2 linked regions of the Stegostoma tigrinum genome follow. The protein of the gene in region 2 interacts with the protein of the main gene of each other region in a pairwise test. Links are inferred from orthologs where the notes say so. Each region holds a gene or a part of one and is shown on either strand. Other genes may lie near its edges.

What was found. The genes of interacting proteins can lie anywhere in the genome.
Region 1: the proteins of kifap3a (region 2) and ncf2 interact in binary tests that used the Homo sapiens proteins (3 or more experiments, as listed by UniProt). The two-hybrid records come from large-scale screens. The link is inferred for Stegostoma tigrinum from reciprocal best matches to the Homo sapiens genes KIFAP3 and NCF2.

What each region holds. Positions count from the first base shown.
Region 1 is NC_081361.1:45,931,464-45,939,475, reverse strand, and holds the start of ncf2 (neutrophil cytosol factor 2), read left to right. Parts: upstream 1-4,978; 5' UTR 4,979-5,360; coding exon 5,361-5,534; intron 5,535-8,012. UniProt on the Homo sapiens protein: Subunit of the phagocyte NADPH oxidase complex that mediates the transfer of electrons from cytosolic NADPH to O2 to produce the superoxide anion (O2(-)).
Region 2 is NC_081361.1:46,861,336-46,869,315, forward strand, and holds the start of kifap3a (kinesin-associated protein 3a), read right to left. Parts: upstream 3,007-7,980; 5' UTR 2,865-3,006; coding exon 2,833-2,864; intron 1-2,832. Other genes in the region: ntmt2 (N-terminal Xaa-Pro-Lys N-methyltransferase 2), read left to right, coding at 5,282-5,447. UniProt on the Homo sapiens protein: Involved in tethering the chromosomes to the spindle pole and in chromosome movement. Binds to the tail domain of the KIF3A/KIF3B heterodimer to form a heterotrimeric KIF3 complex and may regulate the membrane binding of this complex.

The DNA.
Region 1 (8,012 bases), about 930 kb from region 2:
ACTTTCAGCCAACTGAAGACCTGTACATCTAGGTCCCTCCGTATGTTGATGCTACAAAAAGTTCTGCCATGAACTTTATGCTATTCTCCTGCATTTGATCATCCAAAATGCGTCAGCATGCGTTTGTCCAGATTAAACTCCATCTGGCATTTCTCCGTCCAAGTCTCCAGTCTATCTATATCCTGCTGTATCATCAGGCAAACCCTCTTACCGTATGCAACTCACCACGTCTTTCAAATAACAAGTGTCCCAGCATGGAATCCCTGTGAAGCGCCACTGGTCACAGATCTCCAATCCAAAAAACACCCTTCCACCACCACTCTGTCTTCTATGACTATATCATCTTGCCATGAAGGACCTTGACAAAGGCCTTGCTAAAGTCCATGTAGATAACATCTACTGCCCTACCCTCATCAATCATCTTTGTCCCTCCCTCTAAAAACTCAATCAGGTTTGTCAGACACTGCCTTCCCCACACAAAGCCACACTATCGCTAGTAAGTTCATATCTCTCCAAATCTGAGTAAAACCTTTCCCTAAGAATTTTCCCCAATAACTTCCCTGCCGCTGACGTAAGGCTCACTGGCCTGTAATTACCTGGACTGTCCCTGTTGCCCTTCTTAAACAATGGAAAAATGCTGGTTACTCTCTAGTCCTCTGGGACCTCTCCTATGTCTAAGAAGGATAGAAAGCTTTTGTACAATGCCCCAGCAATTTCATCACCTGGTTCCCTCAGCATTCTGGGATTGATCCCTATCAGGTCCTGGGGACTTGTCTACCCTAATGCTTTTTAAAACACTGAAACCTCCTCCTTTTTTACAATTACATACCCCAGAATATCGACAAACCCTTCCCGAGACACACCAACCACCACACCTTTCTGAATATTTCTACCCTGGGAAAATAACTTTGATTATCCTGTCTATCCATGCCCTCATAATTTTGTAAACTTCTATCAGGTCACCCCCTCATCTTTTGACATTCAAGTGAAAGCAAACCAAGTTTGTCCAATATCTTATTGAGCCTAATACCATTCAGATCAGGCAACATCCTAGTAAATCATATCTGTACTCCCTCCAAAACCTCCTTGTCAAGGATCACAGCCACTTGCTTCAGCTTCCTGCAAAAACTCCTGCAGGACCTGAGCCTACAGAGCAGAAAGATCAGGACCAGTATCAACAGCATGGCAGAGAGGAGAGCTCATGATGACAATGTACAGTGTGAAGACAGGAGAGATCAGGACCATAGTCTACAGTGGGACAGACAGGAGAGATCAGCACCATAGTCTACAGTGTCACAGAGAGGAGAGATCAGCACCATAGTCTACAGTGGGACAGACAGGAGAGATCAGCACCATAGTCTACCATGTCACAGAGAGGAGAGATCAGCAGCATAGTCTACAGTGGGACAGACAGGAGAGATCAGCACCATAGTCTACCGTGTCACAGAGAGAGGAGATCAGCAGCATAGTCTTCAGTGGGACAGGCAGGAGAGATCAGCACCATAGTCTACCATGTCACAGAGAGGAGAGATCAGCACCATAGTCTACAGTGTCACAGACAGGAGAGATCAGCACCATAGTCTACCATGTCACAGAGAGGAGAGATCAGCACCATAGTCTACAGTGGGACAGAGAGGAGAGATCAGCACCATAGTCTACAGTGTCACAGAGAGAGGAGATCAGCACTATAGTCTACAGTGACACAGAGAGGAGAGATCAGCACCATAGTCTACAGTGTCACAGAGAGGAGAGATCAGCACTATAGTCTACAGTGGGACAGGCAGGAGAGATCAGCTCCTTAGTCTACAGTGTCACAGAGAGGAGAGATCAGCACCATAGTCTACAGTGGGACAGAGAGGAGAGATCAGCACCATAGTCTACCATGTCACAGAGAGGAGAGATCAGCAGCATAGTCTACAGTGGGACAGACAGGGGAGATCAGCACCATAGTCTACCATGTCACAGAGAGGAGAGATCAGCACCATAGTCTACAGTGTCACAGACAGGAGAGATCAGCACCATAGTCTACAGTGGGACAGACAGGAGAGATCAGCACCATAGTCTACCATGTCACAGAGAGGAGAGATCAGCAGCATAGTCTACAGTGGGACAGACAGGAGAGATCAGCACCATAGTCTACAGTGTCACAGACAGGAGAGACCAGCACCATAGTCTACAGTGGGACAGGCAGGAGAGATCAGCTCCTTAGTCTACAGTGTCACAGAGAGGAGAGATCAGCACCATAGTCTACAGTGGGACAGAGAGGAGAGATCAGCACCATAGTCTACAGTGTCACAGAGAGAGGAGATCAGCACCATAGTCTACAGTGTCACAGAGAGGAGAGATCAGCACTATAGTCTACAGTGGGACAGACAGGAGAGATCAGCACCATAGTCTACAGTGTCACAGACAGGAGAGATCAGCAGCATAGTCTACAGTGGGACAGACAGGAGAGATCAGCACCATAGTCTACAGTGGGACAGACAGGAGAGATCAGCAGCATAGTCTACAGTGGGACAGACAGGAGAGATCAGCACTATAGTCGACAGTGTCACAGAGAGGAGAGATCAGCACCATAGTCTACAGTGTCACAGAGAGAGGAGATCAGCACCATAGTCTACAGTGGGACAGGCAGGAGAGATCAGCACCATAGTCTACAGTGGGACAGACAGGAGAGATCAGCACCATAGTCTACAGTGGGACAGACAGGAGAGATCAGCACTATAGTCGACAGTGTCACAGAGAGGAGAGATCAGCACCACAGTCTACAGTGGGACAGGCAGGAGAGATCAGCTCCTTAGTCTACAGTGTCACAGAGAGGAGAGATCAGCACCATATTCTACAGTGGGACAGACAGGAGAGATCAGCACCATCGTCTACAGTGTCACAGAGAGGAGAGATCAGCACCATCGTCTACAGTGGGACAGGCAGGAGAGATCAGCTCCTTAGTCTACAGTGGGACAGACAGGAGAGATCAGCACCATCGTCTACAGTGTGAGAGACAGGACAGATCAACACCATAGTCTACAGTGGGACAGACAGGAGAGATCAGCACCTTAGTCTACAGTGTCACACAGAACAGAGATCAGCACCATAGTCTACAGTGGGACAGAGAGGAGACACCAGCACTATAGTCTACAGTGTCACAGAGAGGAGAGGTCAGCACCTCAGTCTACAGTGGGACAGACAGGAGAGATCAGCACCATAGTCTAGTGTCACAGAGAGGAGAGATCAGCACCATAGTCTACAGTGGGACAGACAGGAGAGATCAGCTCCTTAGTCTACAGTGTCACAGAGAGGAGAGATCAGCACCATAGTCTACAGTGGGACAGACAGGAGAGATCAGCACCATAGTCTACAGTGTCACAGACAGGAGAGATCAGCACCATAGTCTACAGTGTCACAGACAGGAGAGATCAGCACCATAGTCTACAGTGGGACAGGCAGGAGAGATCAGCTCCTTAGTCTACAGTGTCACAGAGAGGAGAGATCAGCACCATATTCTACAGTGGGACAGACAGGAGAGATCAGCACCATAGTCTACAGTGTCACAGAGAGGAGAGATCAGCACCATAGTCTACAGTGTCACGGATAGGTGAGATCAGCACCCTAGTCTACAGTGTCACAGATAGGAGAGATCAGGACCATAGTCTACAGTGTCACGGATAGGTGAGATCAGCACCATAGTCTACAGTGGGACAGACAGGAGAGATCAGCACCTTAGTCTACAGTGTCACAGAGAGCAGAGATCACCACCATAGTCTACAGTGTGAGAGACAGGAGAGATCAGCACCATAGTCTACAGTGTCACAGAGAGGAGAGATCAGCATCATAGTCTACAGTGTGAGAGACAGGAGAGATCGGCACCATAGCCTACAGTGTACAAACTTTGGAAAAAGGAATACAGGCATGGACAATTGTCTAAATGGTGAGAAAATTTGTAAAGCAGAAGTACAAAGTGATCTGGGAGTGTTGGTCCAGGATTCTCTAAAGGTTAACTTGCAGGTAGGGTCCGTGATTAAGAAAGCGAATGTAATGTTGTCGGTTATCTCAAGAGGGCTGGAATATAAAAGCAGTGACGTGTTTCTGAGACTTTATAAAGCTCTAGTTGGACCCTATTTAGAATGCTGTGTCCAATTTTGGCCCCCACACCTCAGGAAGGACAAACTGGAGCTGGAGCATGTCCAGTGGAGATTTACATGGATGATCCGTGGAATGGTTGGCCTAACATACGATGAACGGCTGAGGATCCCTGGGATTGTATTCATTAGAGTTTAGAAGGTTGAGGGGAGATCTAATAGAAACTTACAAGATAATGTATGGTTTAGAAGGGGTAGACGCTAAGACGTTGTTTCTATTAGGAGGGGAGACTAGGACCCACGGGCACAGCCTTAGAATTAGAGGCGGTAAATTTAAAACAGAAATGAGGAGACATTTCTTCAGCCAGAGTGTGGTGGGCCTGTGGAATTCATTGCCACGGAGTGCAGTGGAGGCCGGGACGTTGGATGCCTTCAAGGCAGAGATCGATAAACTCTTGATCTCACAAGGAATCAAGGGCTACGGGGAGAGTGCAGGGAAGTGGAGTTGAAACGCCCATCAGCCATGATTTAAATGGCGGAGTGGACTCGATGGGCCGAATGGCCTTAATTCCACTCCTACGTCTTATGGTCTTAAATCTACATCGGGGGGTGCAAAGGGAATCTATGACAATGCTACTCACCAAATCTTAGCGCTTTTTTGCTTTTCTTTGTGATTGGAAATGATGTCCCTTCAGTACTTTGTTAGCTGCGCATTTGGTCTGTCTGTAATGGCCTCCCTGTTTGTTGACGATGTTACTGTTGTCAGGGAAATATAGAGGCGGTGTCTGAAGCGTCAGTCTGACAGCTGCTGGAACACAAACTGCCCAGAGTTAAATTTTTTAGCCAGCCGTTTCCAGCATCGAAAATACTTGATTTAGAAGTTTGCAACAGGAAACTAAAATACAAAACATATAAAAATATTTGTGGAAGGTGCGGGAGGATTGGTAAATCAATTAATTTGCCTTTAGACTGTTATAATCTCTCTTATGTTCATGGTAAGGTTTGGATTTGTCAGACCGTTCACATCTCCACAGGACTTGCAGCCACTATATCAAAAGGCAATGTCAGTGAGTTAACTTCCTATGAAACTGGTCTAGTCACAGCTAAAGTTGGGCTCATGGTCACATTTCCTGTAGTATTTCTATAGCGTATTCAGTCAAGCGGAGGAAGCAGACGGTAAAAGAAGCAGTGCGTTGAAATTAGTTGCTGGTTTAGCCAGTGCATACAAACCACGCTATTTCACGCGCTGCAGCTTGTATACATTAAACGGCCGGGCTCAGTATGTCTCTAACAGACACCATCAAATTATGGGATGAAGGCATTACTGCAGCAGACCGCCAGGAGTGGCTAACCGCACTCAACCTGTTCACCACTATACTCGAGCCCAGCTCCAAAATCTGTTTCAACATCGGCTGCCTGCATCTCCTCCGCAGAGAATGGAGCCAGGCTGAGAAGGTAAGTTGCTGTCACAGTTCCACATTTTGAAGGTGTATTCGGAATTACTTGAAATGCTTCTGTTTTTATTCCAAGACATATCAAAATAACAAGAGGGTTACAATTCACTGATTAACATTGTAAACGCTGAGCAAAATATAACAAGTAGACATTTCATTTGAGAAGATTAAACCCACAAGAATAGTAGGAAACGTAGTTAGTTCGTGTTTTACAGGGAAGTGAAGCAGTTTGTTTATTGCTTTATGGAAACCAAAATGTACCGAAAAAGTGGAAATGAAACTGCTCATGACATATAAATCAATTTCACAATTTACTGGATATTAATCCAACAATTGTGTTACATTGGTGCAATTGTGAGTTCAGTTTTAATATAAATTAAAGAAAAGCAAAGATTTACAACAAACCCCATTGAAAATTACAAAGGGCAAAGGAATCAAAGGCATGTATCATTTTTCCTTCACGTGTCAGGCAGTGATCATCAACAAGAAAAATCTTCAGTACCTTCTCCTAATTCTCTACAATAATAACGCTGTGACTACAGAAAACTATTAGCTGCAATTCAACTCTTAACTTCACTCCAGCATTGTCACTGAATCAATCTCCTGCCATTTCCTACCAGGAGCATGATCAACCAAGCTATTTGTTCCTCATTTCCCTCAGAATCCTTTGATATATTTCATCAGGTCTCAGAATATTTAGATAACCAAACTTCTTTAATAGTTTCCTTTTATTTATGATGTTATTCAGCTCATGTTAACCCTATTCAGGATTTCTCTGCATTCCATGTTGTTAAACACTGAAATGAAACACTTGTTAACTATTCCTGCTAATTTCTACTTATCCTTCACTACCTCTGTATCCCGTCCCCTCAGAATCAACCTCACTTTTAAAAATTTACTCTTTATTACTGACACTCGCACACCACCTTACTGTTTGTCACGATGATATAAGAGTACGAAATATTAATCTGTAAATCTTATCAATGAATTTAAAAGCCATGGACTTTTGTCTTTGAGTGAACAGTTAATAATAAGTTTGGGATACCTTAAAATGGTTTTCAATGTCACCTGACCTGAAGGTAGCCAAGCTGCACTGGGATTTACAAAAGAATGTTTAAGAAACTTGGCTGACCATATTCCCGAAAATGTTATCTAAGGATAATTACCTGAACATCAAAATTCAGCATCTTCAATATGTAGCTCGCAATGAGATCTTCAAATGCCTTGGCAATGATTGAAATTGCAGAGATAATGGGGACTGCAGATGCTGGAGAATCCGAGATAACAAAAGCTGATGTTTCGGGCCTAGATCCTCTCTGATGAAGGGTCTAGGCCCGAAACGTCAGCTTTTGTGCTCCTGAGATGCTGCTTGGCCTGCTGTGTTCATTGAAATTGCAGATATTATTGGAACAACGAATTAAACCAAAACTTACTATGTAAAGAGGAGGATTGAACCACTGTTCCCCAAACCCCATCACCTGAACCTACAACAAGGGGAAACCGCAAACCTCTTTGAGAATTGATTAATCGTTATTGTGACCTAACAGCCAATGTTTACACATCGAAACATCACTTCTGTGTGGGGCCATGATGATTCGTTTGTGCTTGTTGCTAAAGAGGGCAGTAACATCCAGTCACATCAAAAGATGAAGAGCTTCCCTTTCACTGGACGTGGTGTGCCCAATTCTGTAAGATGATCAGATCTGATGAAAATACTGAATGTGCATACTTGCTGTACACAAATCCAGGACAACAGCAGAACCAGTTCAGTTGTAACCACCAGAACTTTAAAATCAACATCAGAAAATATAATCCTTCACCTGAGAACTGTAATCATTTCTCAATTCCAACCTCCCTCATCCTGTCCTTGTTCTGATTGCTCGCACATTTATGTATGTGTGTGTGTGTGTGTGAACGTGCATGCATGTGTGTGTGTGTGTGTGCATGTGTGTGTTTGTTTGTGTGTATGTTGGTGTGAGTTTGTGTGTTTCTGACATGGAATTCCAAGTTAGGTTATACCTTTTAAGTAATATTTATACTTCGTACTCAGTGAGTTTACAATAAAAAAGCCACTTCATTTTAACTAACTTAAAAGGATTTTCTGTCTTGTTTTTCATAGCTTTAATGCATAACCAAGCACATACTGAATTAGGGAAAAATACATTTGTTTAAAATTTAAAACATTGCTAAACCAAGAGCAAGAGGAAATGAGAAGAATTTGCCCACCCCTTTAGACTCGGTTGCAAGATGTTTAAAAATATTTTTTGAGATACACTCCTTACTTTCGTTTTATTCCACTCTCTCATGGGATGTGCGTGTTGCTGGCTGGCCAGTATTTATTGCCCTTCAGAAGGTGGTAGGGAGCTGCCTTCTTGAACCACTGCAGTCCATGTGCTGTAGCCTGACCCACAATGCCTTTTCAGAGGAAATTCCAGGATTTTGACCCAGGAACAGTGATGTAATTCCATGTCAGGATGAC
Region 2 (7,980 bases):
TATCAATTATCATTTTGCAAACCACGATTTGGAAATTTACAACGTTGAAGTGTAAAGTGCTGTTTTTAGATGTCCAACATTTCAGTTTTCAGAGAGGAACTATGCACAGACTATCAGAACAGTCTAGAAAGGGCAACAGAATGAGTCTGGCAAAAATGTAAATGTGATTCTGTCCAGTTAAAATCCAGTCTGTAGCATCCAGGGCAAAAGACTACAATCTAAATGTTTCCACTTTTTCTTGCTTTTTTTGTTTGGCCCCAGGTCTCCTACCACCAGATAATCTTTCCATTGTTCGTTATTTGAAAAATTATTTCAGTTATCAATTTCAATATAAATGCATTCAGTTACTTTATAGAAAAGTCAACTGCCTTACAGTGAACACATATCCTGGATATGCATGGTGCTTGTTAATTTCCTTAAAATACCCTACTAAATCTACTTTAGTTTGCAAATATGCTTCATTCTCACTAATATATGAACTTCCAAAGAGCAGTTGAGTCTTTGTACTGAAATTGAAGCTCATGGAATGTAAGGTAATTTGTTGACCTGGTTAATAAATTGGCTGTACAAGTGGCAGAGTGGTGATAATATCAAAAATTGGCACGTAAGATCCAAAGGGTGTATGTTGAGATCTCAATTATACATTGCTTTCAATAATTTAGATAATGTAATTGTTGACATGAAAACAAAACCACGACATTATCAACAATTAAGTAAAGGGTGAAAGAGATTTCAATGCAGATAAATGCAAGTTCATCCATTTTCTAACTAGAAATAGAACAGAATACTCCCTAAATGGTGTAATGCTGTAAACTGAGATGGTCATAAAGACTAGGAATTCCAAATACACATTACTGAAGTGTCACAAACAGGTATCAAAAAGTAGGTAGTAAAGTTACTGGAATGTTGGCATTCATAAAGAGGGTAAATTTATAGAGCCATAAATTTATATCAAGGGTAATGAACACAAGGGGATAAAATTTAATCTATAGTGATAATGGGAACTGCAGATGCTGGAGAATCCAAGATAATAAAGTGTGAAGCTGGATGAACACAGCAGGCCAAGCAGCATCTCAGGAGCACAAAAGCTGACGTTTCGGGCCTAGACCCTTCATCAGATGAAGGGTCTAGGCCCGAAACGTCAGCTTTTGTGCTCCTGAGATGCTGCTTGGCCTGCTGTGTTCATCCAGCTTCACACTTTATCAAAATTTAATCTACACACGCTTTTGTGCTCCTAAGATGGTGCTTGGCCTGTTGTGTTCGTCCAGCTCCAGACTTTGTTATCTCAGATTCTCCAGTACCTGCAGTTCCCATTATCTCTTATAAAAAGACCTGGTTAGGCAACTTTAAGCAGTTCTGGAAACCAGAAGTCAGGATGAATGTGTTGGACTTTGAGGGGCATATCACAGACCTCCCAGAATTGTATCAATGCCAAGAGAGAACAAAGAGAATACATAAACTAATAAAATAAAAACTACAGGTGCTGAAGATCCAGGACCACTAGACTTGAAACATTAACTCTGCTTTCTCTCCACAGCTGGTGCCAGACTTGCTGAGTTTCACCAGGAATTTCTGTTTGTATTATACACACTAAGAATAGGTTTCTTGGATTTTGGAAGTGCTTTGATTACAATTATCAAGATATTAAGTGAACAGATAGGCTAGATTGGAGAAGTATTTTCCATTAGTTAGGAAAACTAAAATTTATGGCATAGTCAAAAAATTCAAACTTTTCAGAAGTGACATTAGGAAATATGTCCTTTTGCAAAGTATGGTAGAAGTTTGGAAACATCTTCCACACGTGGCAATTAATGTTAGATAAACTGTCAATTTAAAAGTGTGATATTTGCTTGTTAGCCAAAGGTATTAGGGATAAGGGGCAAAGGTCAATAAATGGAATTAGATTACAACCATGTTATTACTGAATAATAGGACAAGATTGAGGGCTAAGTAGATTACACCTATTTCTATTGTATTTGTCACAAGCATTAGAATATTTGGTCCTGCTTTGACTGACAGTGCACCAATCATTTGTTGTTACTCAAGTTGAATTGTATAAGCTGTGCTTAACCTGTTATTTATCCATTTGTTGTTTGAACATAAATGTAAAACAATTTTTTAAAATACATATAACAGGTTGATTGCTTTTATTCGACACAAATTGAATACTTTATAGAGAAAGTACTCCTAACCTGGAGTTCACAATCCGTGGTTCCCCATTATCCTCCTCTCCCCATCACAAACAATGCCAAATTTACTGTAAATTCACAAGACGTCACTTCTGTCAATACAGAATTATAGACGACCTGAAATTCGCCAGTTACCACCTGATAATAGCCCGGATGGTAACCACCATTGGTTCTCATCACTCAACGAGCTCATCTGGCGAGTATCCCAATCATCATCACGACAGTGATAATAGGACGCAACTGACCTCTCCAAACGAGGGTGTGGTAGGAAAAGAAATCCTTCTCAGTAAGCGAAGATTCAGTTTAACTGCGAATGATGCTCTCCATTAAAAAAGGGGGGATAGTAATATTAACGATCCAGGCTGACTCATTCAGAATGCATTAATAGAATGTATCTGAGAGCAACCTTGAAACGAACGCTATGGTAGTGTCAGCATCAACAAGGGAGAAGAGTATTATACGCGCTGCACAAATGTCTGTCAAACCCACAGCTGAGAGAGCAGCTGCGAAGTAGACGTTAACAGCAGAATGATTAAGGTGCCGCAGTCACAAAATGCAACAACAGCGACTGCAGGTTCCTGGGCCCAACCCGGTCCTTCCAAAAAAGCAACCACCAACACCCTGCCCCTGTTACAGCACCAACCTCTTCAGGTAGCGAGCATCTTCCGGTTGCATCTTTATCGGCCGCTCCAATTCTGTCTGCAAAAGCAGTTTCTTTGTTTGCTTACTTTACCCAACAGCAAAGCCACCCTCACATCTCCCCGGGTTACCAGAGACAAGTGCAGCCGCCCCACAATCCGCAGCGGTACGCGCGGGCGGAGCCTGCGCTGGAGGGCGGAACTAAACCGACAACGATGGACACTCCGCCTGCAGCACCCCCACTAGGCCAACAACAATAACTCCAGGTCAACGGGACTGCGATCGAAAGAGTCGTCACCAGCAGAAACAGCTTGCATTTACAGAAAACAAATCAAAACGTTCAGAAACTTCGCAAAGGTGCAAACAGAGAAAAGAATGCCCAACTATGAAAGGAAATATTAAATATCGTGATTGAAATCACTCTCCGTGCCCTCATCCATACCTTTTGTCACCTTAAATCACAACTTCGTATGTTCTCCTTAAACTTCAACTCATCCAAAATTTTGGCAGGTCTGGCAGCATCTGTGAAGGAAAAAACAGCGTTAACGTTTCGGGTCCGGTGAACGGATTCTGAGGGTCAACGGACCCGAAACGTTAAGATAATAAAATGTGAGGCTGGATGAACACAGCAGGCCAAGCAGCATCTCAGGAGCACAAAAGCTGACGTTTCGGCTAGGCCTGCTGTGTTCATCCAGTTCCACACGTTGTTATCTCAGACTCCAGCATGGCCAGTTCCTACTATGTCTGAGATTTTCCAGCAACTTTGTTTTTGTTCCTGATTTACAGCATCCGCAGTTATTTCCGTTTTCATCCAAAATTTTGTCGCCTATATCATGTCTTGTATTCATCTATCACCGATGACCTACTAAACTGCATGAAGTCCTGATTGTCCCTCACCTGCAGTCCCTATAGGGTCCCTCCAATTTTCACTTCTGCAAATATACTCCAGTCTGAGAGCTACCCAGGACTCTTCTTCCTTCCAACTCTGGTCTCTTGCTCATTTCCACTTTTTATATCCTACTTTTAGTTCGTATGACTTGAAAAGTGAAGCCCCTAAACTCTGGGATTCAATCTCTTAAATCTCTACTCTTCCATCTATCTCAATTCTCTTATCCTTTTTTAAAGCATATCGTTTCTGATTAACGTTGAGCCATAACTCTTAATTGCCCCTTCTTTGACTGAGTGACAATATGTTTAAATACACATTTAGGAACAGTCTTGAAACATTTTAATAAAGACAGAAAGGTTGTGGGTTAAGGTCCCATTCCAAGGCTTAATCACAAAAATTCAAGCTGACATTCCAGTGCATTCTGTCCTTTGTGATGCTTTCAGGTAAGACATTAAACCAAAATCCTGTCTGTCCTCTCAGGTGGATGTAAACTATCCTCTGGCACTTTTTTTTTAGAAAAAGACCAAGAAAATGGGCAATATGTATCTCTCAATCAATATCACCAAAATTATTCGATCATCATCGATTTGCTGTTTGTGGGGCTGGTAATGTGCAAAATGACTTCCACATGTTCTATTTGACAGTAGTGACTGTATAAAATATTTCATTGACTGTAAAGTGCTTTGGGATATCACGTGGTCGTGAAAGGTACAATAACAATGCTAGTTTTCTTTTACATGCAAGTTGTTCATAATGTGTAGTAATCTTCACAATTCATTTAACAGTAGCTGTAGCACATCATTTATCAAACAAATGAGAAATGTGTTTTCTCTAAGAATAAAAATAAGTTTTGAATAATCTCTCAGACAGGTTATTTGGGTTGGAGAAAATGTAACCGAAGGTTATGATGGTAGAGTTGTCGTCTTAAATGATTAAAATCCACGCGTCTTGCTTTACGAGTTTGCCTCTCCACATTTCCCCAATCTCCCATGTTTGTGAATTTTTCTAATGCATTTCTCCTCTCAAACTTACTGAGCGACCCAGCTCATGTTTTTTTGAAGTTGCTAATTCCTTCACTGTACGAAGGGGAAGTGGATCTCAGTCGCAGATAAATCCATCTCCTTTCACGATGCGTCACTGGCATACATAACACAAATCATTGACTGGGCACTTAGGTTCCCTGTCATCTCACGGAACCACAATTTTCCTGCATAATCTCAGGAAGTGTTTGAACTTTGTACAAACCTCAATGGACCATTTAGTAAGATTCACATTCAGCAAAGTTTTGTGGTCCGAAAGCTTTGTTTTACACCAGGATTTAGGATTTCCAGAATATGCTGAAATGAGATCAATGTAGGCAGAGCTGGTTGGGTAGGAGGGTTGGAGTTCATACGGAGGCGCGTTTTCAGCACCTGCTTGGGGGATCGGAGCCTGATCAGTCCAAGGACTAGCGCCAAGTTGTTAAGAACAGAGATACCGGGAAGTTACACCGTGGGATCCGAATCGCCGAAAATTACCTGGAGAAATAGAGGAAACCCAGCGACATCCCAAACTCTAAAATACAATGGAAGAAAAGGTGGAGTGGAAAAAAGCCCACTATGCTTTTAAGTCGCGGTGGGACAGAACTGACGATGATATGTGCCGCAACAGCATGTCTTTCTTTCTCCATAAAACCATTAGGAGTGACTTCTTTTCCAGTTACCTCTTTCTGTTGGAGCAGTTGCCTTTGGGTGAGTTGGAGTGATGGCTGCCATACCCGTATAGGAAAGGCAGAGTGAGTGAAAATATCGCAGCAAACATAAACTGCGGCTCAATGTTATTGTAAAACGCAACATTTATTTAAAGGGGGCTACGTATATTTTCGGATTCTTTAGAGCATATTGGCTAAGTTTTATCATTCAGTCATTGATTAAAATACCACTCGATTGTGCGGCAGCGTTTCAGCAAATTTAGCCGAACGATTACAGTTTTGAATCGTTACGACACCTTCCACGACCACTAGACCGCGCAAAATGCTTTGCAGCTAATAAAATACTTTTAAACGTGTAATTGCGTATTGGCGTAATGCAGGAAACTGGGCAGTTTTGCGCACAGTAAAACTCCCATAGTCAGCAATATGATACTGAACAGCTATGAGGCGTTTTGTGATTTTGATTGAAGGGTAAATGTTGGCCAATATCCTGAGTCACAACCCATCCATCAAATAAAATCGAATGTATTTACACTAGTGCTTCGATTTGGATGTTTTCTAAATTGCTGAAGATATCGGGCATTTTGAGATAGATTATCACCTACTCCGAAAATCTACTTGGGAAAGGCTTTATGTGTTGGTCATCATATGATTAAATATGGCAAAACTCACTAGGAGTTTATATGAAGCAAATAAACCACAGTATTAGAGCTGTTTATGTTTTCTTCTAATTAAAAGGATGCTTATTCCAACAATGTACATTATTAATAACATTTATGAAAACTACATTACCGTAATTACAATATCACAATATTTACAAAAAATTCAACTTGTTCCATTTAACATATTCCACTTGAAGCAATTGTAAAGGTCGGAATATTTACACGACACATCCCATTTGAGGTAGACACCCAACAGCAAAAGCATTTCAAATCTGAAACTGCAAAAGGCAAACAGATATAACACTCTATATAACATCTTTCATTCTGATGCAGGAATTTTGTGTTCTATGGGTTGTTCTCAGGGCTGTAAACCAAGACAATCATAAACAGTGCCTGAAGAACTATCAACTCAGTAAAAGATGCTCTTTGGTCTGCCCTAAGCTTGCTGGCCTTTCATTGAGGGAGTTGTCCTCAGTTAAATATTGCAGACTGGCACATTCTACGGTCCAGAATTACATGTTGAGAGACACACTAGAGTTGGAGCAGCTGCAGCAGAGACACAAATGGGATAGGTTGCTCCCTGGGTCCTTTCAGCCATAGTGCACCAAAGGGCTGGAAATGGAGTACTTCTTAGGCTGAGCACTGCACAAGGACTGTATGTTGTAAGTCTAATTAAAAGAACGGCTCTCTTCATAAGTCCCATAGCAGATAATGTCTCCATGAAAAAGTAAGAGGGGTGGGAGAAAACTGGCACCAGAATGTTTTTGTGTGTGAAGGTGACTGCACATCAGACATGGTTGGGATTTGTTACTGTTGATTATTCTGTCACAACTGAGTAAACAAACAAATAAGTAAAAATGCTTTTCACAGTCATTGAACATCTCAAAACATTTATCATTAAGGAAGCACTTCCAAAGTGCAAATGGACGCAGTTGCAATGCAAGAAATGAGTCAATTTGCACACCCCTGACAGTTTGATAATGGACAGAAAATGTGTTTTGTGATGTTGGTTAAAAAATACATATCAATATGACACTGAGGATAAATCCCCCATACTTTAGAATAATGCAGTGATCTTTTATGTTCATCCAAACATGAAATTGAGGCCTTGGTTTGACATTTCTTCCAAAAGATAGCATCTCCAATAGAGCAGCAGTCCTTCAGTACTACACTGGAGTGTCAACATTGATATTTAAGCACTGGAGTAGGGCTTGAATCCAGTATCTCAGCAGCAATAGTGCTACCAACAGTATTATAGCAAACATGAGCATAGAGCAAATCACATGGCAACTTCATCTAAACCCCTCAACCAAGTATTGATTACCTTACTGTATTGTATTATTTATTTGAAGTACTTTTTCAGTTTGACCAAATTAGCAGCATTACCACAGTACCTGCAATCGAAGCAAGTAATGCAGAATGTTAATTCATGAGAATGAGCTGCAGCCCAATGGTACAGCATGAATCAGCACTGTATTGACAGGTCATTTTCCATTATAGCCGATTACATGGGATTAACATGCTTATATATAATTTATATTGGCTGCTTTCTATAGTGAATTATGCAGTTCGTTTTTGCTGTGAATACTAAACCTGTTTACATTCTTATGCCACATGATACATTTACAGTATTGCTGTTATAATAATTAATTGTATATTTTATCCAAATCACATTCAATGCAACGCTGAACAAATTCAGGCTGCCGCAAAAGAAAATAATGTGGAGGGCCCCAATATACAATGGAAAGCACCATTTATCAAAGTGTCACATTGCACTGTTGATTAAGCACAGGTACTGTCGAACATTAATTTTAAAACACTGAGCAAATTCGATGCTTGGTGATTAAAATGTTCATATAAGGTTAATGTTTAGCTTGCTGGTGTCTCCACAGCACATTAAGTGCATTTTTT